Arabidopsis thaliana: one gene and its partners. The protein of the gene in region 3 interacts with the protein of the main gene of each other region in a biochemical or structural test. Each region holds a gene or a part of one and is shown on either strand. Other genes may lie near its edges.

Evidence for each region.
Region 1: of the proteins of AGL50 (region 3) and MPK2, one has a biochemical effect on the other in vitro, tested with the Arabidopsis thaliana proteins (one large-scale study listed by BioGRID).
Region 2: of the proteins of AGL50 (region 3) and MPK7, one has a biochemical effect on the other in vitro, tested with the Arabidopsis thaliana proteins (one large-scale study listed by BioGRID).
Region 4: of the proteins of AGL50 (region 3) and MPK1, one has a biochemical effect on the other in vitro, tested with the Arabidopsis thaliana proteins (one large-scale study listed by BioGRID).

Annotation. Positions count from the first base shown.
Region 1 is NC_003070.9:21,880,049-21,887,927, reverse strand, and holds MPK2 (mitogen-activated protein kinase homolog 2), read right to left. Parts: upstream 3,911-7,879; 5' UTR 3,721-3,910; intron 3,419-3,720; 5' UTR 3,408-3,418; coding exon 2,985-3,407; intron 2,893-2,984; coding exon 2,185-2,892; 3' UTR 1,877-2,184; downstream 1-1,876. Other genes in the region: ZCF37, read right to left, coding at 1-68; ZCF61 (E3 Ubiquitin ligase family protein), read right to left, coding at 4,296-4,398, 4,501-4,579, 4,687-4,730, 4,817-4,948, 5,035-5,147, 5,223-5,288, 5,377-5,517, 5,594-5,689 and 3 more; AT1G59550 (UBX domain-containing protein), read left to right, coding at 7,140-7,522, 7,665-7,803, 7,878-7,879.
Region 2 is NC_003071.7:7,905,575-7,913,602, forward strand, and holds MPK7 (MAP kinase 7), read right to left. Parts: upstream 4,467-8,028; 5' UTR 4,143-4,466; intron 3,808-4,142; 5' UTR 3,801-3,807; coding exon 3,378-3,800; intron 3,288-3,377; coding exon 2,604-3,287; 3' UTR 2,200-2,603; downstream 1-2,199. Other genes in the region: AT2G18180 (Sec14p-like phosphatidylinositol transfer family protein), read right to left, coding at 5,480-5,605, 5,697-6,097, 6,194-6,254, 6,320-6,460, 6,569-6,668, 6,754-6,803, 6,885-6,986, 7,081-7,158 and 3 more. UniProt on the Arabidopsis thaliana protein: MKK3-MPK7 module acts as a positive regulator of PR1 gene expression.
Region 3 is NC_003070.9:22,005,165-22,011,904, reverse strand, and holds AGL50 (AGAMOUS-like 50), read right to left. Parts: upstream 3,399-6,740; 5' UTR 3,302-3,398; coding exon 2,450-3,301; downstream 1-2,449. Other genes in the region: ALA3 (aminophospholipid ATPase 3), read right to left, coding at 1-5, 151-306; AT1G59800 (Cullin family protein), read right to left, coding at 5,733-5,840, 5,933-6,136, 6,224-6,271, 6,358-6,543, 6,636-6,723.
Region 4 is NC_003070.9:3,346,133-3,353,666, reverse strand, and holds MPK1 (mitogen-activated protein kinase 1), read right to left. Parts: upstream 4,586-7,534; 5' UTR 4,349-4,585; exon of another isoform or gene 4,103-4,348; 5' UTR 4,089-4,102; coding exon 3,666-4,088; intron 3,581-3,665; coding exon 2,891-3,580; 3' UTR 2,487-2,890; downstream 1-2,486. Other genes in the region: AT1G10220 (ZCF37), read right to left, coding at 852-1,508; WLIM1 (GATA type zinc finger transcription factor family protein), read left to right, coding at 5,904-6,038, 6,230-6,326, 6,426-6,469, 6,557-6,646, 6,784-6,990.

The DNA of each region.
Region 1 (7,879 bases), 120 kb from region 3:
TAAGGGTTCTTGCTTGCTTTTCTTGATTTTTTGGGTGAAGAACATGGAGATCTAAATGGGCTCACCATTTTTACTTCGAGTGATGATCTTGTGGTTTCTTTACCTTGCAATGTTCTTGTGAGATTCAGAGAGTTTCAAGTTTTTTTTTTTGGTTTTGGTTAATGAAGATTTGTTTTGGAGACAAGAGTGACGACCTTGTTATTAATAGACGTGATTTGTATTAATATTTTAAAAGATTTCACGCGACAATAATATTTTCTTTATTGTAATACTATAGAAAAAGGATTTAAGAATTTGACCGGATCAGATGATGAAGCGTTACAACTTGGTCAAAATGTCAAGATCTCAGAATTTTGTATTTAATATTTTGTTTTTTTTTTTGTTTTTGTGTGGGTGATTATAAGAAGTTTCCAGGAATAAAAGAACATCATCGATCACGTATGTTGATAACGTTGGTCTTATTGATTGACTTCCTTGGGGCATAAGCTAAAAAAGAAGTCTATCTTTCATAAATTTCCACGACGGATGTATTATTTTAAACTATATTTAGTAATTTTATAACCAAAAGCTAGTTGGAGTTTTCCAAGTATTTATGATTTAATGTATAGATATTGATGTTTTTGGCAATTTATTTGATGTGTGCATGGCAACTAATTTGATGTGTATGTGTGTGTATTATAGGAAGGGCATTTAGAAATATACAGGTTTGTAAACAGAAATTACCATCGGGTAAAGCAAGTTATAATATTTTTGCAAATTATATTTTTGTTTATAAAAGTGTTTTCCCTGAATTTAGTAATAATCATTATTTAATCACGAGTTAGGTTCGTTAACTTAGCTCGAAAGCTTGATACCATTGTTCACATAATGTTGGTGGCTTTATTAGTTAAGTTTTCTGTATTATTATGTATGCACATGTCACATGTGACACAATTAAGTGTTGTTTTGCTCGATACTACGTGTTTTATATAATATTTTCGGTTTGCCACTCTGTGTTTAGACTTTAGAGATAATTTTATAAACTATACATCATTTCATGAGACATCCCCTGTATCCTAAAGGAGAAGATGGAAAGATAAAAAGGAAAATTAAATACCAAGCAAGTGGTGTGTCTTGTGGCAGATTTTGGTCCCTCCAAAGGAGATTGAACATTGCATCCTAGTTCTATCATTTGATCATAAGTTTTGGATAAAATAGAGGATTTACAAGTATAAACTGCTTCATCATCATATGCTTATTAGTTTAATCAAATTATAGACTTAATAGTCCAACCGCAATTTCATATGGATAACTAAAACGAATTTTTGGCGGAATGGTATAGAAATGACTCAATGACATCAAACGCATAAATCAAAGAGATGATGATGAGGAACATTCATTGACTATTAATCGACGAGAAGACTTGACTTGGTCTTCTAGAATCTTTATCTCTTTGGCTCTTGATTTTTTTTTCACATCAATGGTTTCAATAATTAGTGCAGTCCTACATTTTTCCATTTACAAAAGTAAAAAAAGATTCTTATTCACACGCTGTTCATCAAAATATTTTTCCAAAGCATAAATGTTACTAATTATTGACATTTTTTCTATCATTTAAGTTAAATTTAAGTGTGTGATAGACATCAAAATATTTTTATCAAACAAAGCAATTAATACTTCTATTAATGTCACAATATACTAAGTCTGAATTCAGAATTAGGTACATGAAAGTCAAAAACACATTTATAAAAATTCTACGAATCTATGGAACATTCTATGTATCATTGAAAATTATTTCCCAAATAATTTTATTTTGATATTCTATGCATATGTTTTATTTCATGAATTTTTTTAAACAGTGTATATCTTTGTGTTAATACATTTATCTTCAAAATCATATTTAATCCAATGGTTTGCTCTTTGAACATTCGAAAATCTTCAATAAGAAAAATCACCAACAATAAGATCAGAGACAGAGTATGAAGTTTTAAGGACACATACACTTATGTACAAACGTTACAGACACTTAAGCTTGTAACCAAAAACAAAACAAAGCTCCATGACACAAACATATCACATAATTTAAAGTTATTGTTCTTCTTCTTCGACACTATTATTAACAACATTTCAAGAAGCAAACATGAAAATAAATAAGTTTAAGTTGTTGAAAGATCTCTCTGAACAGTACCTGCAAAAGACTTGATCTCAAAACTCAGAGACCTCATTGTTGTTTATGGTAGCAGCTTCTGGATGATAATGAATCATTTCCTTCCACATTAATTCTCTTATCATCTCTGCTCCCAAATCCTCGTCTTCATCTACATCGAGATCAATAGGAACTTGAGCAGGAGGATTTGCACTCGGGTCATATAAAGGCGCCATGTAAGGATGTTGAAGCGCTTCCGTGACACTAATCCTTTTCGAAGGGTCAAGAACGAGCATTTTCTGAAGCAGATCAATGGCTAAAACATTTGCACCCGGGTAAAGACGAGAGAATGATATCCCTGGTGAGTAAGGGAGTGATTCTATGTATCTTTTGGCTTTTGGGTTATCTATAAACTCGAGATCTTCCTCTCTCTGGCTACCCAAAATGTTAATGATGAGTTTAATCTGGTTTAGACATTCTGTTCCCGGGAATACTGGTTTTCTTCCAAGAAGCTCGGCGAATATGCAACCGACTGACCAGACATCAATGGAGGTTCCATAGTTGTCACAACAGAGGAGTAGCTCTGGTGCTCGGTACCATCTAGTCACAACATATTCAGTCATGAACTGACCTTTGGTGTTGCTCGTCCTCGCTAGCCCAAAGTCACATATCTTTAAGTCGCAGTTTGCATTCACAAGGAGGTTACCGGGTTTCAGATCCCGATGGAGAATGTTTGCTGAATGAATATACTTGAGCCCTCGAAGCAACTATGCAAAAGAAATAAAAAGCAAGTAAATGCAAACACCAAATGCAAACAACACACACTAATGGTAAAAGCAAATGCAAACAAATCACATACCTGGAACAAGAAGTATTGGCAATGGTCATTACTTAGAACTTGAGAAGACTTAATAATCTGATGAAGATCAGTATCCATAAGCTCATAAACAAGATAAACATCCTTAAAGCTTCTCTTATGATTAGCCATCATTACATCTTTAAGAGCAACCACATTCTCATGTCGAAGATGACGTAGAAGCTTGAGCTCCCTAAGAGTCCTCAACGCATCAATCCTATTCTCAAACACATTGTGGATCTTCTTGATCGCCACTCTCTCATTACTCTCTCTGTTAACCGAAGAGCAAACCACACCGTACGCGCCTCGGCCTATCGGTTTGATAGGCACGTATTTGGTATCGATCTCGAAAAGTGTTTGCCACATTGAGAAGTAATGCTTCCCTTGATTCCTAATTCCATTAGGTGGATCAACAGGAGTCGCCATTCTTCTACCTCCTTATAAAAACACACAACAAAAGGAATAAAAATCAAAACTTTATCGAAATTGGAACAATCCACAAATTTGAAAATATACACAACACAGAATTTTGAATTGCTTCCAACAAGTGACAATGAAAGATCAAATTTTTAGTTTTGATCTTAGGGTTCTCTAAGCTTAAGTTTACAGATTCAAAGGTTAATATTTTAGATTTCACTAATGATCAAAAGCTTTGTTTAAGAGAAAAGAACAAAAGTTGAATCTTGATCCGATGTTGAGATTGAGCTAGAACGATCTGAATTTTGCAGAGAGAGCTTACCCGTTGAGTGTTGGGGACGAATCAGATTCGTCAGTGACGATCGCCGGCGAGATTTGGGTGGAGAGAAAGAGGAAGTTGGAGAGATTTGGCTGGTGAGAGTGAGAGATTTGGTCAACGCTATGACCGTTGACTCTCTAGTTTCTCGTTCATTACCATTTTAGAGCTGTTTCTTTCTCTGTCTCCTTCACTAATCTGTCTTTAACTTTGGGCTTAATTAAGCCCAACCTGATTTGTAATAATTAACGGTAATTAGATATTTAAGATAGTGAGGAATTAACAAAAAGTGGACGTGCCGGAGTGGTTATCGGGCATGACTAGAAATCATGTGGGCTTTGCCCGCGCAGGTTCGAATCCTGCCGTTCACGTTTTTTCACTTCTTATTTTAACATCGAAACGTGATTATATAACTTCATTAGTAAATGTAAATCTAAGCTTGAAATTTATATTAGCATTTGTTCAATCACAATCTATCAATGCAAAAAAATTTCTAGTCAAAAACTCATGATACAAAGGCTTTACTATATGTACAAGACTAGTAATTGTTCGCTTGTAAAAATCGTTCTGAGTTTTGTCCTTCAATGGCGGTAAATTTTCAAAACTTGTTGTATTCGTTCCCGGCAAAGAGGACAGGTCCTTAGTTGCAAGGAGCATGGTGTGCAGCAGCACATATGACCACACCTACAAGTCCAAACCAAACAAAAAGAGGAATCAAAAGATGCCATGTTTGATCAGTGAGAGGGTTTTCAAGAGCTTTTAGAAGAAAAGCGGTCTTATACTTACTCAACAAAAGCGGTGTTATACTTCTGGTCAAGGCAAACCACACAGAGATCAGGTGTATCACCATCTCTGCTTGTACCACCTGGTAAGACGTTTTTGTAAGCAGAGCAATTCCAAGTGTATGCAGAAAAAGGATTCACATGTTACTACTACAAAGTACAAACTCTAATGGATAGATACTATTACTACCTCCAGTTACTGGTTTGGCTCTCCTAGCAGCTGCATCAACAACTCTGCAACAAGTTACCCAACACTTAACTCGCAACTCGCAACTCGCAATGAATACTTCATACGTGGCTGTGGTTAGGGTGCGTCATACCTTTTCAGTGCGAATTGTCGCCGCCTTCTTTCTAGAGTATCTTCAATTCTCTTTAGAATATATTCAATCACAGGCTTTGAAATAAGAATCACACCAAGAACAGTTAAACCCATGGAGGCATACTTGAACCTCCTGCCAAAAGAAAGAGATCTTTTAGAATTTTTTTCAATCATAGTTTTCGAAGAAAAGAATAGGCAAAAACAGAGAAAAGAAACAACCTTGACAAATCTCCCAATTTAGAGATGAGCTGATCTAGCGGTATATAAGTGACGTAGAAAGGTCCTTGCTCAGGTTTTTGAATCCTGACATTCCCCATGCCATCCCTAACAGCCTGTTAACATGGTAAGCAACATAACAAAGAGAGATATAAAACGTATTTTGGACCGCTAACAGATAAAAGACATACCTCACCAACAACTGTAAGCGGTGTACCAATTGGGACAACACGCTCAACGTGTCTTACTCCAAGTATCTATAGACAACAATGGTGCCACAATGTATAAGCATTGTCAAAACAAAAGCAAATCAATGAAAAGTGGTAGGAAAGGAAAAGAAAAGACCTTAAAGCCTTTAAGATAACCCAACGCTCCTTGAACAAGCGATACCGGCTCTGCCTTTTCAAATACATCACTACCAACCGTCAACGCCAAGCCTAATTCACCTTGAGATACATCTACATTCACACGACCTGTCCCGTCGTCCTATAGGCAACCAATATCATATTTTGTAAATGACTTTAGAAAGTAATACACTCCAATCAAAGTCCAACAGACATACCAGATACCAGGGGACTTCCTTAGTCATCGGCTGCATCAATGTACTATTTCGAACCCATGAAAATCTCCAATTACGTCTCAAAACCTGTTGTTCTGCCTGAAAAAAATCGTTTCTTTTTAACATATCCAAAATCACAGAAACGAAAAACTAGATTATCTAATCCAATTCATACATACCGTTCTCTTGAGAAATACACCGAGAACATAACTATGCTCACACTTAATAGGAGTCTCAGAGCCAACATCTCCTGATACTGCGATGATCAAAGGTACCACCTTGCTCTCTACTTCTACTAATTGTTCTGAATAAAAACGAATGATATCAAACACATAACCAAAACCCATCCACCTAAAATTGAAATGCAGAACAATGCAGGAACATTACCCAAATCCTTGAGTTGGTAAACCCTAGTGATTGATTTGATATCTCTGTCCCACGAAAGAAGAACATTACCACCGAATAACAGTAAACCCTAGTTATCGTAATTCGTAAATAGTAAAGACAAGAAAAAAAACCTAACCTGCCTGTGCTCCTGGTAAGAAGATAAAGAGCGACGCCGCCTAAGCAACATGTAAATCCAGCCAAATGTATCATCTTCTTCCACTGTACACACTGATTCCTTCACGAGATCACTATTTGTCGGCCACTTTACTTCTTTCGCCGAGAAACCAGAAACCGATCAAAATTTTCAGGCAGAGAGAGAAAGTGAAGTCGAATAGGGATGAATTTTTTAATTAATTCTTTTTTGCTAAATATGAAAAAACTAATTAATGCAGAAATATTGTTTGACCAATACTATTTTGATTGTTAAAAGGGTTTTCTAAAGGAATTAGGGCTTGATTGGTTCTCCCCCTCTGCTACCAATAGTAATTGATTTGAGAAAGTCATTTAACTTTAAGATTTCTTTCAATAACATTTTTCCTTTTAAAAAACTAATTAATCAAAAGAAAAGAAATTAATTAATCAAAATGAATGTTTCACAAATTTAATCAAGAAGATATTCAAGTTAATATATCCTAGGATTTTTTGCAAATTAACAAATTTAAAACAAATAATACTCATATTTAACATTTTTTAGAAAACCCCATTAATAATTACTTCTACTAATTAATATTTAATCAACAACAATAAAAATTTATATTTTTTGTTAAATAACAAATAATACATTCTAATATAATATGGAAACCGAATAAAAACCTACGCTTGCCGTGTACCGCGGGATGAATCCTAATATTTATCAATATGTAACTAAAAAAAATTCCAATTGTAAAAAGTTTAGCGTGATTTAAAAAAAAGTTCATTGAATTATTTTATAGGCATAGACCGATAAAGTTTAAGTAAAAAACGATAAAGTTATTATAAACAAAACAAAAAAGTGATAAGGAAATTTCCGATTTTTTCTCGAACCAAATTGGAGTGAAAAAAGGAAGAAAAACAATACTATCAAGTTCTCTATATAAACAAAGAAATAGAAGCAAAGACGTACAAAACAAAAGATTAAAACTCATACAAATTTGTTCTCTCTTTCTCTTTGAACGGCAAAACAATGGAGAGTAACTATCAGAGAACACTGGTCTCAGCTTTCCTCAATATCTCTGTAGATCAAACTGTGGAAACCGCTATAAAGTGTCTAAAGTCTACAAATTGGAAGCTTGAAGATGCCATCAATCTCTTATTTGCCATCGACAGAATGAGAAATAATCAAACTTTGACACTAAAACCTTCCGACTCTACTAGATTGCCTTCCTTGTCTCCTCCTCCTCCTCTAAATCTGCTTTTTAATGGTTCGTTCGAAGACGCGAAACTAGCTTCTTCTAGCAAAGATCTATGGTTGCTTGTTCATATCCAATCCGAAACTGAGTTTCCTTGTAATACATTTAACCGAGATTTATGGTCAAACGAAGACGTTTCTCAAGCCCTTGAGTTTAGGTTTATGTTATGGCAAGTTTATGATCATACCAGTGAAGGAAGAAAAATCACTAGCTTCTATATGATCCAACACTGTGCTCCTCCTATGCTGCTCCTTAGTCCTTATCGATCCGATTACTGGCCAGAATATATGTATATGGAGGGGCGAGATTAAAGCTAAGGGTTTTCTTAAGGATTTGAAGAAGTATATTGATGCTAGTCCTCACGAACATATTGCTTCTACGGCAAGGAACATGCGCGTAAAAGCAGAAAAGATTTGCCACTCTGATCAACAAGACATGGTTGGTTTTACGGACGATGATTTTGACGATTTTGATGAGGCAGCTGATGAAAAGACTTAAATCTCATACATAAGGG
Region 2 (8,028 bases), on a different chromosome or scaffold from region 3:
ATATTTTCTAAGCTCATGGGCCACAAAATTTGAGTTGTGCTTGGGGCCCTCTTAAAGTTTAGGTCAGCCCTATATCTTCTCAATCCATTCGTTTTTTTTCTTTTTAGTGTATGCTGTGTTTTTTTCCTTTTTGTTGGCTTCTCAATTTATTTTTCTTTTTTGAATTGTATTCAATTTTTTCACCTAAAAGACAAATTTGTAAGAATATTTTTATCATTTATTTATTAGAATTGAGATAAGGGGAATTAGCAAATATAACCAACAAAAATATTTTAATTGATAAACTAACACTTCGAACAATAGAAAGAGATATTATGTATAATATATGTAATATTGACAATACTATCTTCTGTTTGTACATCACGCTCTCCTTCTTCTTTCTTCTTCAAAAGACATCCTATTGAATAAATCTTCTTCTCTTTTATCAAGTGTGCTCATTTCATCTCTCTCTCCCTTCTCTTACTGTGTTTGTACATCTCGCTCTCCTTCTTCTTTCTTCTTCAAAAGACATCCTAGTGAATAAATTTTCTTCTCTTTTATGAAGTGTGCTTCTTTCATCTCTCTCTCCCTTTTCTTACGAATCTTTACATACATCACCATCAACTGAACAAAAGTCAAAATTATATATGGATCAATCTTAAATGTCGATAGGATCACTCAAATCTGATTTACTCTATTTTATAACAACACCATTAGCGCAATAATACTCTGACTATATTTATTCTTCGTCAGCCAGAGAATACTAGAAAAATCCGGGGAAATCTTTTCGCCAATTATGTCAAATTAATCTTCACTTTCCCATCAAAGTTCATATGAGAATTTTAATTTGTAAATCCATGGAAAATAAAATTGAGAATTATGAATAACAAATTGACAATCATGTTATGGATTTCTTAGATCTAGAAGCGATAAAGGGTTTACGATGTTGGAAATTCTAAAGGGAAATAGCCAATAAATCGATTTTGATTTTGGAAGATTTTTGAGAGATACTTTTCTATTTTGTGAATATACTATTTACGTATACATTGTACTATATACGTTTTAAAACGAATTGTTTGTTTTGATTAAGGATGTTAAGTGATTTAATCATTATTTTAGATTAAAACCCTTGGGTTCCCTATATATTATCTTAGGGTTTAGTATCCTTCCATCAAAAAATATTTAATTGATTATTTGGATTCATCGGAATCAAAGTTTTGGTTTGAACAAATATATACTCCCTCTGTTCCTTTTTGTTTGATTTTTTAGAAAAAACACAAATATTAATAAAACATATTAAATGTTGCTTTTAAATGTATTGTTCTTTGGGATTTACAATTTTCAATAACTCTAAACCAATTATATTCAATAATTTGTATTGAAGTTTACAATTTCTCAATTATAACTAATAACTATTGCATTGAAAACCTAAAAAATCAATCTTTTAGAAACAATTTTTTTTTCTAAAAAATCAAACAAAAAGGAACATAGGGAGTACTATTCTATTTTTCTATGATGATATGTATAGAATTTGGTATCACTATTCATTTTTTAAGAAATTCGTATCCGATTTTTAAAATTCAAATCATATTAGATACACAAAAAAAATCTGTTTTTTTAATAGTATTATTAATTTAACCAATTAATATTGTTAACATAATATAGTAAACAATATTAAAAAGGGTGAACATATTTTAATCATATTTCTCTTTTCTCTTCTCAACATAACTTAAACTTTTATTGTTCCTTAAAAGACCACGTCAGCATAATTCACTACACTTCTGTTTTCTTCACGCGCCTTAAACATGAATGAAAGAGTTGGGTGAAGGAGTGTGTGGTGAAAGAGTGTGTTGTCATTACACACACCTCATGTGTTACTCTCTGAATTCGGCAACTTATGGTGCTAGATATTTAATTTCTTTTCAGGAATTGGTTATTTAGCTAATTCACCTTTGAAATAAATACACTTATAAAATAAAGTATTTTTAAAACACACTAGTCTTCATATTGGAACTGAAAAAAATAGCACACTTCCTTAGATCATTATTTATAAGATTACTAATATATTCTGAAATTGTTTTGGTAGTACTAAAAAGAACGAAAAATATGAAGTGACACATTATCCAATCTTCCCTTATAATGAATTGAAAACATGTTTGGCGGCTTTTTAAAGGTAGGATAAAAACTAGAGAAAATAACATCTATACTTTTATTAGTTTATACTTTATAGTATGAGAGTATCTAAACTATAAAAAATTATTTCGTGTGGCTAGCAAGTGGGCAATGGCAAAGCTATACAAAATACAAGAGTTGGCCTGAAAATCAGTAGTAAAACTCATCAACTCAAAGATAATGTAACAAAAACAAGCCTTAACTTACTTAGTAACAAACAGTCACATTTACAAAGTGGTAAAGATACTGAGAGCCACTTTTCAAACTCTGTTACTACTACTCACTCACTGCAACTAAATCAAACCAGACGAGATCAAAGCACCGGGCTTTTTATCGATCTGTTCCCGCGTTTGTGGACTCGCTATATATAACATAACATCAAAGCTGCATTTTAGAAAGCAAAAAAAAAAAAAACTGGAAAAAGCTTACTCTTAATGATCATTGATGTTGATTTAGGCATTTGAGATTTCAGCTTCAGGGTGGTAATAAAGCATCTCATTCCACATCATCTCTCTTATCACTGGTTCCTCCATGTTTTCATCTATGTCCAGAGAGATTGGGACATGTGCAGGCGGATTGGATCCAGGATCAAACAACCCCGCCATATACGGGTGTAAGAGCGCATCGGTTACAGAGATTCTCTTGGTTGGATCAAACACAAGCATCCTCTGTAACAAATCTATAGCTAGAGGATTGGCTTGTGGATAAAGATTGGAGAGATGAGTTCCTCTTGAGTACGGAAGAGACTTTATAAACCTTCGAGCTTTCGGGTTGTCTATGAACCGAATATCAGATTCTTGTTGGCTACCAACAACGTTGATGATTAGCTTAAGCTGATTCAAGCATTCTGTTCCTGGAAAAATCGGTTTCCTACCAAGAATCTCCGCGAATATGCAACCAACCGACCATACATCAATGGAGGTTCCATAGTTATCACAACAAAGAAGAAGCTCAGGTGCTCTGTACCAACGTGTAACCACATACTCAGTCATGAACTGTTCATTACCTTGGCTCGTTCTCGCCAACCCGAAATCACAAATCTTGAGATCGCAGTTCGCATTAACTAAGAGGTTCCCGGGCTTCAAATCCCGGTGAAGTATGTTTGCAGAATGAAGATACTTCAACCCTCTAAGCAACTAAACACAACAACAAGAACAAGACTTATTTCAATAACTAAACATACAAAACTCGAAACATAGAGTTACCGAGGAAGGACTTAAAGTTACCTGAAACAAGAAGTACTTGCAGTGATCATCAGAAAGAGACTGAGAGGATTTAATAATCTGATGAAGATCAGTATCCATTAGCTCATAAACCAAATAAACATCCTTGAAACTGGATCTATTAGCAGGCAACATAACATCTTTAAGCGCGATCACATTCTCATGCCTCACATGCCTAAGAAGTTTAAGTTCCCTCAACGTTCTCAAAGCATCAACACGATTCTCAAACACATTGTGAATCTTTTTAATAGCAACTCTCTCATTAGTCTCACGATTGATAGAAGAACAAACCACACCATAAGCTCCTCTTCCAATGGGTTTAATCGGAACATACTTTGTATCGATTTCGAACAATGTTTGCCACATGGAGTAGTAATGTTTCCCTTGTTGCTTAATCCCATTTGGTGGCTCAACTAACATCGCCATTTTCTCTCTGCAAAAACCAAAACTTTCAGTATTTTTCCCCTAAATTGGTAAGATTTTGGAAAAGGGTTTATAGAGAATTTTCGATTTATGAATCATTGAAGCTTTTTTCTCCTTTACGTCTCCAAAAAGTGAAATTCAACTAAGAAAAATTCTCTTTTTAATATCGTTTCCTTTACTTAGCTATCAATCTTACTACTCCATAAGAAAAAAGCAAACTTTGGTTATAAAAATTCTCTTTTTAATATGATAACTCTTGATTAATCATAATCAAAACTCAAAAATTAAGAGTTAAAACAAGCTAAATGAATAAAGAGAAGAAACAGAACAAGAGATCGAACATACCCAATAACTGAATTTACAGAACCCGAGTCGTTGTTGTTGTTGTTAATGATCAGAGATGAAAGAAGAGAAGGGTATGATTGGATCTGAATTGAGATTGCTTCTTCATAGCTAAAACAAGAAGAGATAAGAGAGAGAAGAGTTAGGAAGTGGTGAGACCCATACGGGGAATGGAATGTTAGGGGAAGAGGAAGAAGAAGAAGAAGAAAGGAAGCAAAATACGTTGGTTGATGAAGAAGCTTTGGTTACTTCTTTTCGTTTTTTAGGAAAAAAACAAATTACAAAGTCTTCTAATTACGAAAACGACATTCTTTTTAGATTAGATATTTTTTGTGTAACAAAACTTCAGTTACAAACTATCTTTAATTAAAAAATCTCTAAAGTTTAATGGACTCTTCATGTTTTTTTTTTGCATACAAATCAGGATTGTTATTACTATATTTGGTAATTAGAAAAAAATAATGCATAGGAATTTTTGTAATTAATTAAAAAGATTGAGTAAGATATTTATTAAGTAGAATTTGTCTTGGTATAATATACGTACACGAATACAGAAATTGAGGATTTAAATGGATCAAGTAACCGGCTAAGCACGTGGGTGGACTGAAAAAGTGACACGTGGTAAACGTAGATTGGGAGCAACTTCTTGTTGTTGTCCGAACCGAAGTTTCCACTGGGTGTAGTTAAACCTAACTTAAAAGCCTCAAAAAGTGGTCAACTACAAAACCACTCTTGGTTTGAAGACCTTCTGTCTCTTTCGGAGAGGTTTGAGGATTAGATTAAAAAAAGGATAAGTGTGGCTGATGGATTTAACATCAGATGATGACATAACTAATTTGAGTGGCAAATGGTTGAGTAAACCTATCAGTTGACGAACGCAGATTATCAATCAACTTTGAGTTTCTCCATAGATCTTCGAAGATTCTGTCTCTCCAAACCATCAAGCCCCAATTCATCTTCAACCCTAGTAATTTAGTTTATATAAAGTGTACTTGAATTTTATACGTTGATGTTAAAAATGTTTGCACACTAATCTTTTGTACAAAACTACTTTACAAAATATATTTCTTATAAATTCATTGTTTTCTTTTGTACAAATCAAACATGATCTCGCATATGATGCGGATAAGTGGTAACATCTAAGGATGATATATATATACAGAGACATAACAAAATTCTTTCTTTGGAGATTCTCTTAATTTTAATGTGACTGTAAGATTTAAGTTAATGACATGAGTGCATTGGCCACCTCTAACTCCACTAGAGGCTTCTTCTTCCTCATGTTCCTCACTTACCAAGTGAACTGCACATGGAGATAAAAAGTAAAACAGAACACCATTTTAAACACCAAAACAAAAATTAGTTAAGTAGGCATTGATTTGAAAGCGGACCAGCTTCTTCTTCTTCTTCTTTCTCTCAACGTATGCCACAAGGTCCTCTTGTCGGGTAAGAGAATCATCAAGAGCCTGTGAAGATACAACAACTCTTTAGTGTGAGATAGTGAAAGCTGAGAACAAATCAGTAATATATATGAAAGTTTTTTTTGTTTTGTGTTACCTTCTTGGTTGCAGCAAGTTCTTGTTCCAAGAAATCGGCTCGGCTAATGGCAGCATTAAGCATCTCTTCCTTTTCAGGAGGCATAGTTGCTGGCTGTGCACTCAAGTTTGTGACTTTCTGCTCAAGCTCAGCCATTCGTTTCATGACCGCCATGAAATCTTCCCCTGAGATGGTTGTTGTTGCCATTTTCTTCCCATGCATCGAGCTCTTGTTCATCGAGTTTTCGTCGCAGTAAACCGGGCTAGAGTATATAGTTGACTCGGTTAGCTTCCTTGGAACGTTTTTAGTCACTCTAATCATGGTGACTACACCCATTACAAAAGCCATGACTCCAGTGAAAATAGGAGACCTTCCACTTTCATTTGTAGCTTTGCAAGCTTCTTGAATGGCGTAAACATCCCCTGTTCAAAAACAGAGAAGTACTTAAATTCAAGTTCTTTTAAAAAGGAGTAGTATTTGTCTCTTTAGTAGTGTAATTTGCACATGATCTCTTATACTTTTTGAGAGGGAAAATTTGTGAGCTTCTGGTATGTTCCAAGCTGGATGAGCAACCACGACCTGAGATGTGGGAAGAAATATAAGGAGAATACAAGCCTCATGAAGGAAAATAGTGTCATTCTTACATTTTGACAAGGAGAGGGCTGTGACTGGTCAGTTTCAGGAGCTTCCTCAACTGCAGAGTTATTCCCCTGAGAGATAATATTCTCTCCAGCATTATCAGCTTGAGATCTCTTTGAGCATATGTGGTCACCATTATTAACTCTCTGTTAGGTTTACGGTGACAATCATCTTAGTTTTCATATAGAAAGAAAGAAACTAACTATGAGTGTTGTTGTTGCTTTACTAGATCAAAGAAGTTGTAGAAAACAAACCTTCATAATATCTGGATTGTTCCATGGTCCTTTGTCCGAGCGCATGCAACCCCCATTGTCAGCACAAGTACAAGAACCTCCCAAGAACTCAGGCAGCTCACTGATACAAAGAAAAATGAGAAGTCTGTCATTCGAGAAATACTAATCTTTTGAGTGTTCATGCAGAAACTTTTTGCAGAGCTCACCTAGCATCAATTATTTCAAGCAACTTGCTTTGGTACTTGTTGCCAAGAACCTGAATATCAAATTAGCTAAGTAGTAAGAATATCTCTCATTTATATCAGTCAAGAGTGATAAAAAGGGTTTGTATACTTGCATGGATCTTTGCTGTAGTCTTTGGGTCAAGGAAAGACTTAACCGTGTTCCACAACATCCTGAATCCTGAGCCAGCATTGATGATAAACATCCTGTTCAAGGTCTGAGCCAATGACAGATAAATGAAAAAAAAAAGTTGAGAGAGCAAGAATCATTCATAAAAGATAAACCAATGATGATAATAATATAAAGTGCACCTCTGGATAGTTGTCACCATCGACCTTTTGAAGACGCGTAATCAAATCCCTTGCTGCCTTGTTGAAGTTTTTCAGCCCCTTTTATCATATATACACCATTTTTGGTCATTATTGGCTATTATAGTTTCTACAAATGACCATTCAGTTATGTACGTACCACTCCTTGGACATCAAGAATTGTTGTACTTTGATCAATGTGCTTCTTTGCCGCGATGGAGCATGCTGGGAACTTAACATTGAAAGTCCTCTCAAACTCCATCACATGGTAGTTCACATATCTATCCATGGTTGTGACTTGCATCAACTTGGTAGAGTCTACTTGACCTAGCCTCTCAATGTACACCGGTCTTCCTTCCTTGTCGACTCCATGGTGTCCTTGAGGGTAGTATTTCAACACTTCATCAATTTCCTTAAATTCAAAATCCTAAGAGATACAAAGAAAAAAAAAAGAGTAAGAACATTGTTTTCAACCACAATGCACCTTCTTGCATTCATAAAGAAACTCTATGAATTCACACCTCCATAACTGTGTCAGCACCAAACTCCTTCCTCCATCGGAGCATGTCAGACCACATTTGATTTGTTTTCTCAAGATCAAATTTTCTAGCCTTCAAAAACCTGAAAAATGAAGAAACATTCAAGCTAATAATGGACATAGATGCACATTGGCATGATATATTCCAAGATAGACCTAAGCATCATATGGTAATCATCATGTTTGTCCGGAAGTAGTTCATCGAGAATAAGCACTTGGCGGAATGCATCAACCACCTTTAACTCCTCCGCGTCATGCTCATCCTCGAAGATCTCCACGGACATCACCTTGCTACTTCTTCTCTTCTTCGTCAAGGAACAACTCAACTTGGAGCAACTCCTCTTTTTAAAAGAACACACATTGGGTCTCTCCAAAACACATACGTCAAGATCTTATCAAGTAAGATCCAAAAA
Region 3 (6,740 bases):
TTACCCTGAAACAATTAATCAAACATTCATCAGACTAAACAAAAAATAGAGAAAAAATCAGATCGATGAATCCAAACAGCACAAATTCCAATGCACATATCTCCTAATCGATTCAGAAACAATACACGACATCAATTGACTCCGGTGTACCTTGAACCGGACGGGTTGATTAGATTCCCGATCATTACAATAAACGGTACGATAAGTCGGAGCCTGTGGTTGAATATGACCCAACGTAACCGTTCGAGACGGAGTCCGTTGATGAGTCGCCGAAGAATCGACGCTAAAACTACCCGATCGAACCATTTAGGAGGAATTCACACCGATCCAATCCTCTCGTCAACTTACACAACAATCGAATTGTCGACTTCTTCACCACTATAATTCGCGTCGATTCGTTACACAAATTGATTCGATTGCGAGAGGCAGAGATCTGAATCGACGGTAGAAACAGAGAGGACCAAAGGAGCAGCCTTCTCTTCCGTTTCAATGGCTTTGTTCGTCTTTGGAAAGTCGCTCCCGAATTTGGCTTGAAATTAAAATTAAAATTAAATGTTTTTGAAAATTTTGCATTTTTTCCGATACGTATTTTCTCTTTCGGGTTATTACCGAAAACACTTTTTTTTTTTTTTTTAATCCGCGTTGATGCAAGAAATGGCAGGAAAAAAAAAATCCGCGTTGAAGAAATTGCCACGCGCAATTAGGCCGCGTGATCGTCAGATACAGACTTCAGACCTTTTTGTTGCTAGTAAACTTATTAATTTATGGAATATTATGAATTCTTTAAAAATTAATAAATTTACTCTAGAGAGTAAACAATACATTTAATTTCTTATTGGTTCTCAAAAACCGCCATGCTGGACTTGTTCGTTGGCTGTGTAAAACACCGTCGTTTCAACGGTCTTCGTTGTTGTGACATGGGCATCAATATTTTTCTAAGTTTAATTGGCTGGTTCCTTTGAATTATGTTGGTGAACGACGGATGTGCACAATTCCGAAGATCGTGGAATGAACATTATATTATAAAAAAAAAATTGTTGACAAAATACCAAATAACAAAAAAAACTAAAGCTGCATTAATTAAATATACACTAACTTAGATCTTTCTTGTCTTTAAATCGGTAAACAATTAATTTTTCTTCTTGTCAAAATTTTAAAACATTGTTCAATCTAGAAGAAAACTTTTACTAAGAGACAACAAATAAGAGGTTGACCAGAAATAATAACAGCTATCAGTTGAATAATGACACGATCAGAAATAATTTAATGTGGTGACATTATTTGATTTGCAGTTTCATTTTTCTTCCCAGCTCCAAACGTCAAAACTGATATATACGCCAAGTAATTAGTTTTCGCTCATTTATCTTCATGGATATGCTTGTAAGTTTGATCGTGAACTTTGATTTCTTGTACAACGTTGTTCAGTGAGATTTTGATTCACTCAACTATTCATGGTTAAGCAGGAGACTTGTGTTTTAGGCAATTGTGTACGTCATTTGGAATTCCGAAGTTTTGGGAGCTCCTGAATCAAGAATCTGAATATTCGCAGAGAGTTGGATGAGCAAGTTACTGAGATACAACGTCACATACTCACATATAAGAATGTTAGAGTCTTTGTTGAAATATATTGCCAAAGTTTGGACATAGTTCGGACCTTAAAGATGAGAGAAGATGAACTGAATCCAAGCTGAACTTTCTCATTAGAAACTAGTAAATATGTGATTGATGTATGTATGTGACCACAGCCAGGAATTTCAGAATCCTCTGTTTCCACCAAACAAAAGGTATGATCCTGTAACCTTTCTTGAAATTTCACTTTCACTAGTGTCTAGTCTAGAACAAAAGAGCTAAAACAAGAATAAGATTCTTTCTGTTTAGAATCACCAGACAAGAACAATTTCGCAGGTTGGAAGGTATTACTTGCTTATCTCAATGAGGATTCTTTTGGTTACTTTCATATCCGACATGTTTAACCCCTGAAGAATGTATGACATAGTGATTGTTTTCTTTCTTTAAAGTTGGTAAGGAAGATTAACTCAACTATTAATCATAATCACATTTCTGAAGTCAAGAACGCTAGCTTGCAAGCTCACTGATAGAAAGTTGCGCTCATCGTCATTGTAGATGATTTGGTGTCTTACGAAAAAACTCTTTTTAACTCTCATATTCCTTTCTCACATGCAGAGACTCCAAGGTACAAGGGTTTTAGCTTTTGGAACTTTGCGGTGTGCTTTGTGGACAAATTTCTTATACTACTATCAAGCCCAGCATTTAAGTAACAGAAAGAAAGGAAAAGTTTGATTAATCAATAATAAACAAGAAAACACTACCAAAACTTTACAAAAATAGATTTGTGTTGGAGCAAACATACAAGTTTAGATACTAAAAAATGATCAATCACCGAGAAAAGGTGAAAGAAACATGTTTCACTAACGTAGTCATCAAGTTATCAAATTGAAATCATATCGGTGCTCATCGTTTGGCAAGTATTGGTGGTCATGAGAGGATCGCTAAAAGTATGAAGTAGTGGTAGTCTTGAGGCAAACTCCAGATCCCAAACATGATCATCACAAAAATTCCCTAGATTGTAAGTTTGGTAAAGTTCTGCTGCCGCCTCCTGAAGATAATCACCGCCTAAAGTTACAAGATGATCCAGTCCCGTGTTATCTGCATCTTTTGATTCGTACTTGGAAACATTCTCGTTCAAATTCCTTGACCCGCGGACCACGTAAGCCAACTCGTCAAATACATCACACGAACCCAGCTTCTTATCTGAAACCCTAATTAGATGATCTTCCGACAATATATCCTTCAAATGAGGCTCTATCTTCAACTTGTGATCGGAGATGGCCGAGTTCTCTGAAACCCTAGCACCATCTTTTTCGGAAGAACCCGTGAGCGTCTTCTTAAGAATTTCTATCTTTTGTTCCCTGACTCCAAGTAATTGAGAGTCAAGGTGAAGGAGATGCTTCCTTAACTCCTCACGAGACAAACCCTTGAGATGATGAGGGAAGTCATTGAGATCACATGCATGATTCTTCCTCCTCTCATCACTCAAGGCATTGAACTTGGCAACGATCTCATGTAGGGCTTGTGGGTTATGATCTTGAGACTGAGGCCAAACATGAAGATCGCTGTCGGGACCGTAACAGATGAAACCGACAGAGTTGCCGCAGAGAACAGAGAGCTCAGAGGCTTTCTTCTTAAAGCCTGGAAATCTCTGTTTGAAAAAGCTCTGTTTCTTCCTACGCAAATCATCATCATCATCAGACTTGTTAGGTTTCTTCTGACGAGGAGCCATCTTTTGAGAGAGAGAGAGAAGACGAAACTTTGATCAAATCGTGAGAGAGGAAAAAAAGCAGAGACCTTTCGATCGTAATGGGAAGTGCAACGAGAAGGCTATGATGACTCTTTAATATATAGAGACTTAGAAGATTAGGTTTCCTCAATCCCACAGGCCACCACAACGGTCATAATTTGGTGAAACACGCGTAAAAAATCATATCTAATATGCGCGTCCGAAATCTTGTGAGGTCTTTTAATTAGATCTCGTAGTGATATTTTCCTTTTTTAGCTCGATCCTATTTTCTATTTTTTCCTCAATATTTTCCAACAAAATATTTTATAAACGATGCAGTCTTAAGGTGATTTCTATTTTTCTTATGATTGCTAACGTTATAACCGGTTAATGGGATAAATGGAATTGGTTTTGTCAATTTTGTTATTTGGCTTAAGTCAATTATTTTTATTTAGATACATATTTGCTTTAGAAAGTAATAATATTTACACATAGTCCCAAAAAATGGACAACACAAAGCAGAACATAAACACAACTGGTCAGATACGATACCCTAATTAACTCACAACTCATGTAATTGGTAAAAATCTAAGAGACAATCGATCTTCCCAATTTTTCAATGAAAACACTGCTTTCAGAGATAAAATCCCACAAACCGTCCAACGTAGTCCCCAAAAGATTGGATAATTACCCAACTGATCAAAATTCGCTTAAACCCCAATTGAGAGACGATCTTCCAAATTCTTCAATCCAACACAAATTTGAGTCCAACACCTTGGAGGCTTGAACTTCAAGCAATCCTTATTTACTCTTGTTATTTATCCTGAGGTAAGCATTTCGAAAACTGTAAAGATCAAAATTTTAATTAAGCTTCTGAGTCAAAAAATTTATGTTTATACAGCTGCTTGAATAATACATATGAGGATGAAGAATTAGCCATCATGGACTGATTTGGGAGTAGTAACATAAAAATTTATTAGTTTATGCAAATATGTGTCTCTCATTTGCTTGTTCAGTTGTTTGATATCATTTCTGTTTAAACACAACATTGTCTCAGTAAGTGTTTTAAATACTCTATTTTAAGTTAAGATTGAATAAGTTGATCCGAGTGTGAAAAAGAGCATGTTTAAGAAAATGTGAACATTTGGTAAACACATGATGCTGAGCCACAACATAGATACCATAAAATTGTTCATGTACTTTAATTACTTTGATCGATAAAACTAAGAATGTTTTAGACATACAACAAAAGAGGATCTCTCAATTCTTTGCACAACACTTGTGCATATGTCACAATCTGTAAATAAATTATCATGAACAAAAAAGAGAAGAAATCTATGGAACAAGAATCATCAATGTAATGATCATTGGATAGATATTCCACATTTACCATTATTTCTTGACAGTTTCAACACACTCAACTGCAAAAAACAATCCAACTGCAAAAAACTTCACCATTTGGGCTCTCTAGTGACTCTAAAGACTAGAACATGCTTTGTCACATACTAAATAACATTATTTCTGAGATATTGATTGGCTGGAGTTGAAATACTAAAATCGTTTTGGTTGATATCTTTTATATAAAGCATCTAATTAGTGAAGGGTTTGAGAATTATGTAGACAAAATTGTTTGTGTTTAATTTGATGCAATATCACTTTAAGCTTTGATTGGTCTTGTTTTTTCATAGTTTTAGGCTCAGTTATAGCTGTTAGCTATTTGGTACTTTCTGAAGTCGGGTTGTTGTTTTCCTCTGTCAATTAGCATGCAGTCCCAAACCAGTCAACAAAAGCTAAATCACCCTCCAATGAACAAAATTCCTGGTGAAATATTTTGTCAAAGTCGCTATTGATTACCAAAGTTTGTCTTGTTATACCCTCTTATTCAGAAACATATATATTTCGTTTTGCTAAAAACTTTTGTTTTGCAATCAAAGAAGCAATTATACGTCAGTTACTAAACCGATGAATGTTTTTTTAGGACGCCCCATATTAATCTGAAAACCTTATTAACCTTTTAGCCTAATCGATTTGGAAGGAAAATACAAAAGCTAATCTTAGTTTAACTTGAAAACGAGTATGCATGAAATGATAGTGATTGTATAAAAATGATTTTATTTTAAATTGCCAAATTTTTAGCGACACTAGCAAGATAATTATTATTGACCCAAATTTTCAAACTTCAATGCTAAGCTTCTCACTTGCTTTACTTAAGTATATCTTTATCACTTAAGCTTCTTACTTCCTCCACCCCTCTTTAAGATTTGAAATGCCTCTTTCAATACCTGCAATGCGTCAATAGAAAAAAATGATCACTCAATATATAATATTGTGGAAAAAAATAAAAAGCCAATAACTATTACATATCCTCAAAATGCTACCAGATATAACCATGTCACTAAGTTCAAACGCTAAAATCTCCCGTAGAAAAATATGATTAATTCCAAATAATGATACCATAACGAACCTCAAATAGTTTGGGTTCAGTGGTTGGATGAAGGTAGTGAGTGACTCTCTCCCTCTCCCTTTGTAAACACTGTTGAGGCTGCAACATAAAATTACTAACATGTATTAACAAACATACTTTCTTGAAATCGAATTGAAAAACAGTTCCAAAAGTGATATCTAGAGATATGCCTTTAGCGTGTAATCAAGACAAGACTCCTCTTGGATCCACCTTGATGCCTTGCTAGAATAGTAAGAAGCAGTATCTTGAAGCATGAGCCTTTCAAAATCCTCTTCATATTTTTTTAGAGTTCCCATCCCATTCTCAACAAAGACATCTATTACGTTTCTCACAAGTTCTCTATCAATTTGTTCACCCTCACGTTCTTTATGAATCTGGCAATACAAATATTGTTTCGAGAGGAAAAAAAAGATCAGGCAGAACAAGAGATTTTTTTTATCAATACAGATAACATTACTTACAAGTGCTAATATAGCTTCTGCGGCCATGGACTGCATTTCACGATAAACCTAAAGTACGTAGTTACAGACCGTTAGAAAATACTTTCGAAGCAGAGAAAAATTAGAACCTATATATAGGTATATGCATGTCAAACCTGGTCGCGGAAGCAATTCAAGCCAACTTCCCTCAGTGATGGAAGGCCTTTTTTAGAAAGAAAGGAATCGTCTAAATAGACCAACCTTCTGCTAAATAATCTAACCAAAAGTTTATGGGCATTCCACCTCTTAGCAAGCTCTCGTAGCATACATTCATCATGCTTTTCCCTTAAAGATGGCAACACCTTAACCACAGATAAAAAAAAGAAATTATATTAACTCTTTTTTTGTTTTATGTCAAAAAAAAAATGTGTCTTCTTCACACATTGGTACTCACCGTTTGGATTGCATAATTCTCAATTAATTCACGATACTTATCATAAAGCTGTTGAGGGTTCTTGTAGGCGCATATACGGTAAGTAGCCCTGTGAATCACACAAGA
Region 4 (7,534 bases), about 19 Mb from region 3:
ATAATCCATAGTCTCATTACAAGCAAATAAAACTGAAATTGGTCTTTGTGTAAACTACAATCCATAGTCCCATTTTTTCGAGTTGACGTGGCAGTGTTACTTGTATAGTTGAATTGAAAGAAAGAACCGTTTGAATTGAAAGAAAGAACCGTTTTAGCCAGTAAACCGGGTTTGAACGGTTCAATTCAATTTATCAATAATGGCGAAGAGCGAGAATACCAAAAGAACGACGGTACCGAAACAAAATCAAATCCGCGGACCAAAATTTAATATCATTATCTATTCTGACTATACCAAAACCATCCCAATTGGCTTTGGTAAGTTTATCTCAAACCGGCCTAGCCACACTAGTTCCAAACTCCACACTAAACCGAATGATTGACCTGAGTTGGTGAATCATCGATTTCCAAAATCTTGAATACTATTTTTAATTTCAATTTCAATCTAAATCATATAATATATCCTCCAGCCTTATCGTGCTATTTCCTTAAAAGAAAACCAAACGTGAGCATGTATAATAAACAAAGAAATAGTACAGGTTGTCCAAACAACAAGAAATCAAAACTCCAAACTAAAAAAATTTCATTTACAGATCATCAATTAGACGAAAGTTGTACACAAATGAATCAAGAAACACTTTACCACGACCAACAAAAATAATCAGTTTGAATAGTTTACATTTCACTAGCATTAGAGAAAGGAGAAACAAAGAAGAAGAATTTACGTATCTTTCTGTCTCAAAATTAACAACTATGGACAAAACAGAGAAGACAGAACAAAAGAAACCAAGGAAAATGTTAGATGAAACGAATAAAAGAAATTCACAAAAAAAGAAAAAGTTTTGATTTTCGTCACCGGGTTTCACTTTTATCAGGAGCAGCTCTGTTTTCAATATTTAGTTTCTTCCTCCTCTTCGTCTCGTATGTTGATCCTCTGTTTCTGCTCTGTTCCTTGATCATTGGAACCAAGTACCAAACGATACAAGTGCACATGATCGAGACGGTCCGTCCGAAAAACACCAATAATATTAGAACCAGCACCACTGTCACGGGTAATAAATGGTTTGGTCTTGAAATCTTCTTCAGATTCTCATTCAATACACAGCTCTGTTTCTGCTCTGTTTCCAAATCTGTTTGCTTTATTTCTTTTTCCTGCTCTGTTTTTGATTCGGTCTTTACATTGAAATCATCTAGAACATCCTTATTCTTGACCTTGAAATCATCTAGAACGTCCTTCTTCTTGACCTTGAAATCATCTAGAACATCCTTCTTCTGACTTGCCCTCTTTGTCTTGATCATTACAGGGACGCACTCGCCGGAGCTAGTGAAGACAAACCGAACAAGAGGCGGTCCATCAGGATCAAGCCTCTTTGCGTAAATGCTCTGTCTTTTCTCATCGAGCTCAGATAGAAGTGCAGAGAACTTGTCAAGTCCTTGATTTGAATAAGGATTCTTGCTTTCTTTGTTTCCTCTTCTCGATCTCCTAGGTGACGAAAACGGACTCAACATATCAAATCAATTCAGTCCAATCAACAATATCCTCTTTTTTTTTTTTCTGTTACTGGTCCTTTGTGTGGAGAGGTTGTGAGAATTTGAGAGCTTGAAGGAATTTGGTTACGGAGGAGTTGTTAGGCAGGATTTAGTATTTGGACAAGAGAGACGGCTTTATTGTTATCATAATGAGACTTGTCTTAAACTAATTGTAAATATTTCAGATACACAAATGGATTGGTGATTTGACCAGATCTCATTAAATGTGATGAATTGATCAGATCACGTATTGTTGACACTTTTTTTGTTCTCTTTTAGGACGAATAGAAGATAAGTTTCTACCAAATGAAACGTCATCCCAGATGTATTTTGCTGATCTTACAAATTGACTTTCTTGCGGAAGAAGCTGCAAAAAAATTTCCATGATGGTGTAATCATATTTTTTTGGTTTATCATAAGTAATTGACTAATTGTTAATTTAACTTAGTTTTGACTTGGGGAGAAAGAAAGACAAAAGTGATTCAACCATAAACATATAGTTGGAATATTCATTGTTAATTTAAATTTCTGATGGGTTTACAAAAATTGGAAAATCCTCCAAGTTATTTATATACTATGAAAAGAAAAATGAATTATGAGAAGGAAAGTTGGTGTAGAAGAAAAAGCTTTTAGCCTTTAAGGCTTTTTAACCAATAGAAGCAACATATCATGTGTTGACAAAAAAATGAAGCATATCATGTGATAAATGAATGAGGAGGGTACTGATACTACTCACCAAAATTATCTTATAGAACTTCATTAAGAAATTGAAAGAAAAACAATACATTGTTTTTGTTACGATTTGGAAAGTTAGGTTCGGTGCAAAGGCCTACCCCTTCTATGAATCCGAAGGCCTATGATCATGGTGTGATCATCAAATATTCATATAACAAAATGCTTAATTGTTGATATTCTTAGATTTAAGCTATATGAGAACAACTATATGAAAACTTGATTCATCAAAAGGCTTGGATTGCATGAGAGGGTTAAAAGTTCTGCAAGAACGCAACAAACAAACAGAGAAACAGAAACACAGCTCTCTCTATGAACATATGTTACAGACACACATCAAGCTTGTAATTAAAAAAAAAACACAGCTCTTTCTATGTACATATGTTACAGACACACATCAAACTTGTAATTAAAAAAAAAAAACAGCTCTCTCTATGTACATATGTTACAGACACACATCAAGCTTGTAATTAAATAAAACAGAGCTTCCATGGCATCACTATTCGCTTAAACTATAAGTTAGTCTTCATCTTATTTTTCAAGACTATATACACTATGAGTCTATGATGACAATCAGACATAAGAAGAAGAAGTTTTCTGTAAATTACCCGTACAAACAAGACTTGAGCTCAGAGCTCAGTGTTTAAGGTTGAAGCTTGTGGATGGTAGTGAAGCATCTCATTCCACATCATTTCTCTTATCATCTCCTCTCTCAAATCCTCATCTACATCGAGATCGATAGGAACTTGAGCAGGAGGGTTTGCATTCGGGTCATATAGAGGCGCCATGTATGGATGCTGGAGTGCTTCAGAGACACTAATCCTCTTTGACGGATCAAAAACAAGCATTTTCTGCAGAAGGTCGATGGCCAAAACATGAGCGCCCGGGTAAAGTCTGGATAAAGACATCCCAGGTGAGTACGGAAGTGATCTAATGTATCTTTTAGCTTTCGGGTTATCTATGAACTCAAGATCTTCTTCTCTTTGGCTTCCGAGAATGTTGACAATGAGCTTCAGCTGGTTAAGACATTCCGTTCCTTGGAATATCGGTTTCCTACCAAGAAGCTCGGCGAAAATGCAACCAACAGACCAAACATCAATGGATGTTCCATAGTTGTCACAACAGAGGAGAAGCTCTGGGGCTCGGTACCAACGAGTCACAACATATTCAGTCATGAACTGACCCTTGGTGTTGCTCGCACGCGCTAGTCCAAAATCGCATATCTTTAAATCGCAGTTTGCGTTGACAAGAAGGTTACCAGGTTTCAAATCTCGGTGCAGGATATTGGCTGAATGAATATACTTGAGCCCTCGAAGCAACTACACAAAAAGAACAAAGCAAAGCAAAATTTCAGGAGAAAGCAAAGCTAGAACCAACAGTAAATGAACGGGATCAACCACACACCTGGAACAAGAAGTATTGGCAATGATCGTTACTAAGAACTTGAGAAGACTTGATAATCTGGTGGAGATCAGTGTCCATGAGCTCATAAACAAGATAAACATCCTTGAAGCTCATCTTATGAATTGGCATCATGACATCTTTCAAAGCAATGACATTCTCATGTCGAAGATGGCGTAGAAGCTTGAGCTCCCGAAGAGTCCTCAACGCATCGATCCTATTCTCATAAACATTGTGAATCTTCTTGATAGCAACTTTCTCGTTGGTGTCACTGTTAACAGAGGAGCAGACAACACCGTAAGCTCCACGACCAATAGGCTTGATAGGCATGTACTTAGTGTCGATCTCGAACAGAGTTTGCCACATTGAGAAGTAATGCTTCCCTTCATTCCTTATCCCATTAGGAGGATCAACCAAAGTCGCCATTTTTTGTTTTCCCTCTTCATCACAATTCACACACAATCAAGAAATCAAATTTACACACACAATTAACAAATTATTATACTAACTATTTATCAAAACTTTTCAAGTGATAAGTTACTGTAGATTTCTTGTGTAAACAGATTGGTCTGTTAATAATAGTGAAAAGGAAAAAGATCAAACTTTATCGATTTGGTGAAGGAACATAAACGATCGGAATCAATGGGAAAAAAGTTTACGGGATAAAGCGGGAAGGAAATTCTAACCGGTGATAAGTGACCAACGACGTTCCCCGGAGGTTAGATTTGGCCGGAGAGAGAAACCTGTGGAAGTGAGAGAGATTTGGCCAACGCTCGGACAGTTGACCTGCTACTTGTTCGTTACTAGGTAGTCTTTCCTTATATAATTTGGGCTTAAGTTGAGCCCAATTAATATTGGCAAACAGATTCACGTCTCTATCTTCTAAAATCAATTTCGGTATTTTTTAGTAACTGATCACCAAAGTAGCATCATTTGTGAATATGTGTTCTACGAAGATTTATAAAAATTGAAAATGAAGAAAAGTATTTTAAAGTAAAATATATCATAAATGTAAACAATGACACATGACTAAAATATTGCATCACCAATTCACCATCTTCTTTTGCTTTAACTTTACGTTTCCATCACACATCTTTTCATTTTGCTAAAATTAGCATCTAGAGGAAAATAAACTACAAAAGATTTAAAAGTTTTCATTAAGTCAGATTATTAATATAAGAGAGGAGGCCCATGCAGACAGAAAGGGAAAGCCCATAAATCTAAGCAGTGGCAAAAATGTTAGAAACTGTATAAAATGATACTAATAAATTGGTTGGAGTCTATTATAGTAGCAAATAAAAATAACGTTAGGTATTTTTGATTAAATAAAAGATGTTAGGTATCATTATGATCACTCATTCTCTTCAACCAATTATGTCAATACTACAGCTCATCAAAAGCCTTTATGGTAAAGCATGTTTCAGATATTTTCATTATTCATATACACACTACACAACATATAGTATTAAAGAAAATAAATAGTGTATAGATATTTAGAGATTTCCAACTAATTCAACATAACCAATACAGCTTTTAATCATTATCTAAAACCAGACAAAGATTCTTTCCAGTTGGTTTTCCCTGTTCTATTTCCTTACAAACAGTTATTGACTATTGAGCATTGCCTTCACTGTTGAGAAAAATTTGTGTAAATCTTACGCACTGTCAAGCAACTGCATGCATTCTCTAAATAATTACCTGACTCTAGATATAAAAGAACTGAATTAATGTAAAAAAAATATAAGCAAAATATCTAGGAGACAGATATTGACGGGTTACTTCAAGTTTGGACAAAAATAATTAAGAACACAAAAAATGCCGTTGAAACCTTTTCTTTTTGTAGTACAGTTTTTAGTTTTGTTGCTAACGTTCAAATTATTTATTTATTCATCGCTTATCTTGTTTTGTGGATTAGACAACCACGAAAAACAATGCTAGGGTTGTCAGAAACACCAAATATTCGAATTTGCATCCAAAATTCGATACTCATCTTGAACTTTTTTGTTTGTGACATTTTATTAAAAATTTCAATTTTTCCTAAAAGAATTTTACTTTAAATATTTAAAAAGAAGAAGCATGTTCATTTTTCAATATATCTGGTCCCCATATTAAAACAAGCAACAATAATTGACAATCTCTTTCTTTCATCTTCATCTTATTCTTCTTTATCTCTCTCTCTCTCTCAAGACTATTGAGCTTCTTTCTTTTTTCCTGAGTCTTTTAGTCTGATCTCTTACAAGAATGGCGTTCGCAGGAACAACCCAGAAATGCATGGCATGTGACAAAACAGTTTATCTTGTCGACAAGTTAACCGCCGATAACCGGGTCTACCACAAAGCTTGTTTCCGATGTCACCATTGCAAAGGAACTCTCAAGGTTTGATCTTTGATTCTAGTTTGTGATGATTTCTCATTAATCCAGAAGTAGATCTAGTAGATATATATGTAGATGAAGAAGTCCAATCAATTAAGTAGAAATCTTTGAATTTTTGGCTATGGAAACTGATTGGTCTAAAGATTTGACTGTTCTGTTTCTTCTTCTTCTTCTTCTTCTTCTTGATGAGTCAGCTTAGCAATTACAACTCCTTTGAAGGAGTTCTCTACTGCAGACCACATTTCGATCAAAACTTCAAGAGAACTGGAAGTCTTGAGAAAAGCTTCGAAGGTAAATTACCAAAAACAGATCAAAATGTGAAAAGCTTTGTGAGTGGGGATTTCAAATTTGGAATTATCTATCTAAAGTTTGATTCATATATATGTACAGGGACACCAAAGATTGGGAAACCTGATAGGCCTTTGGAGGGAGAGGTACTTTCGGACAGCAGAACAAAACCCTTTTTCTGTTTTTGAGGTTCTTGAATTTTTTTAACATTTAACATGAGAGAAGTTTAACAGAGACCTGCTGGAACCAAAGTTTCGAATATGTTTGGTGGAACACGAGAGAAATGCGTTGGTTGCGACAAAACCGTGTATCCAATTGAGAAGGTATCCAATCTCAAATCTTTCCTGATCAGAATCAAGTTGTGTCAAAGAAGATTGTTAGATTGTTTCCATAACGAATCTGATCTGTTCTTGGCTTAAACCAGAGCTGAAACATTGCTTATAATGTGGACTTTGTGTAGGTATCGGTGAATGGAACATTGTACCACAAGAGCTGCTTCAAGTGTACACATGGAGGCTGCACGATAAGCCCTTCGAATTACATAGCTCACGAGGGTAAGCTATATTGCAAGCATCATCATATTCAGCTGATCAAGGAGAAAGGAAACTTGAGCCAGCTCGAAGGAGGAGGAGAGAATGCCGCCAAGGACAAAGTCGTCGCTGCTTAAAGAAACAATTCAATCTCTCTGGGATGATTTTGACTATCGAAGAATCAAAAGAGTCACTACTTCTCCATCGATCGATAACATATATTGGTTTTGTTTCTTCCTACGTTTGTGTTTTTCTTTTTGGTCTTTAATATGTTTTTTTTTTTTTGGGACCTTTGTTCACTCTTTTATTGGGTTTCTTGAAATGAAACTAGAGAAACAAAGAAATAATGGATGTTTGCTTATGAGATATATATGTATTACGTTCATATGATATAAATTAATTTTCGTGAAGTTTAAGCTTCAGCTAAATGATCGATTCAATTGCTACCATCGTTGATTCAGGTTATTGATAATTTGTTACTCTTGGCAGAGAGGATGATGAAGTCGCGTGAAGATAGAGGATGGAGATGTAAACATATTGGGCTAATTCCTTACAAATGTTAACATAGATTAAAAACATAAAATAAAACAAACAAATAAGGGTAACAAACCGAAACAAGAGAGACAACCCATAACATTAATAGGCCCAACGACCAAACCCATGAGTCCCAACTCGGAGGAG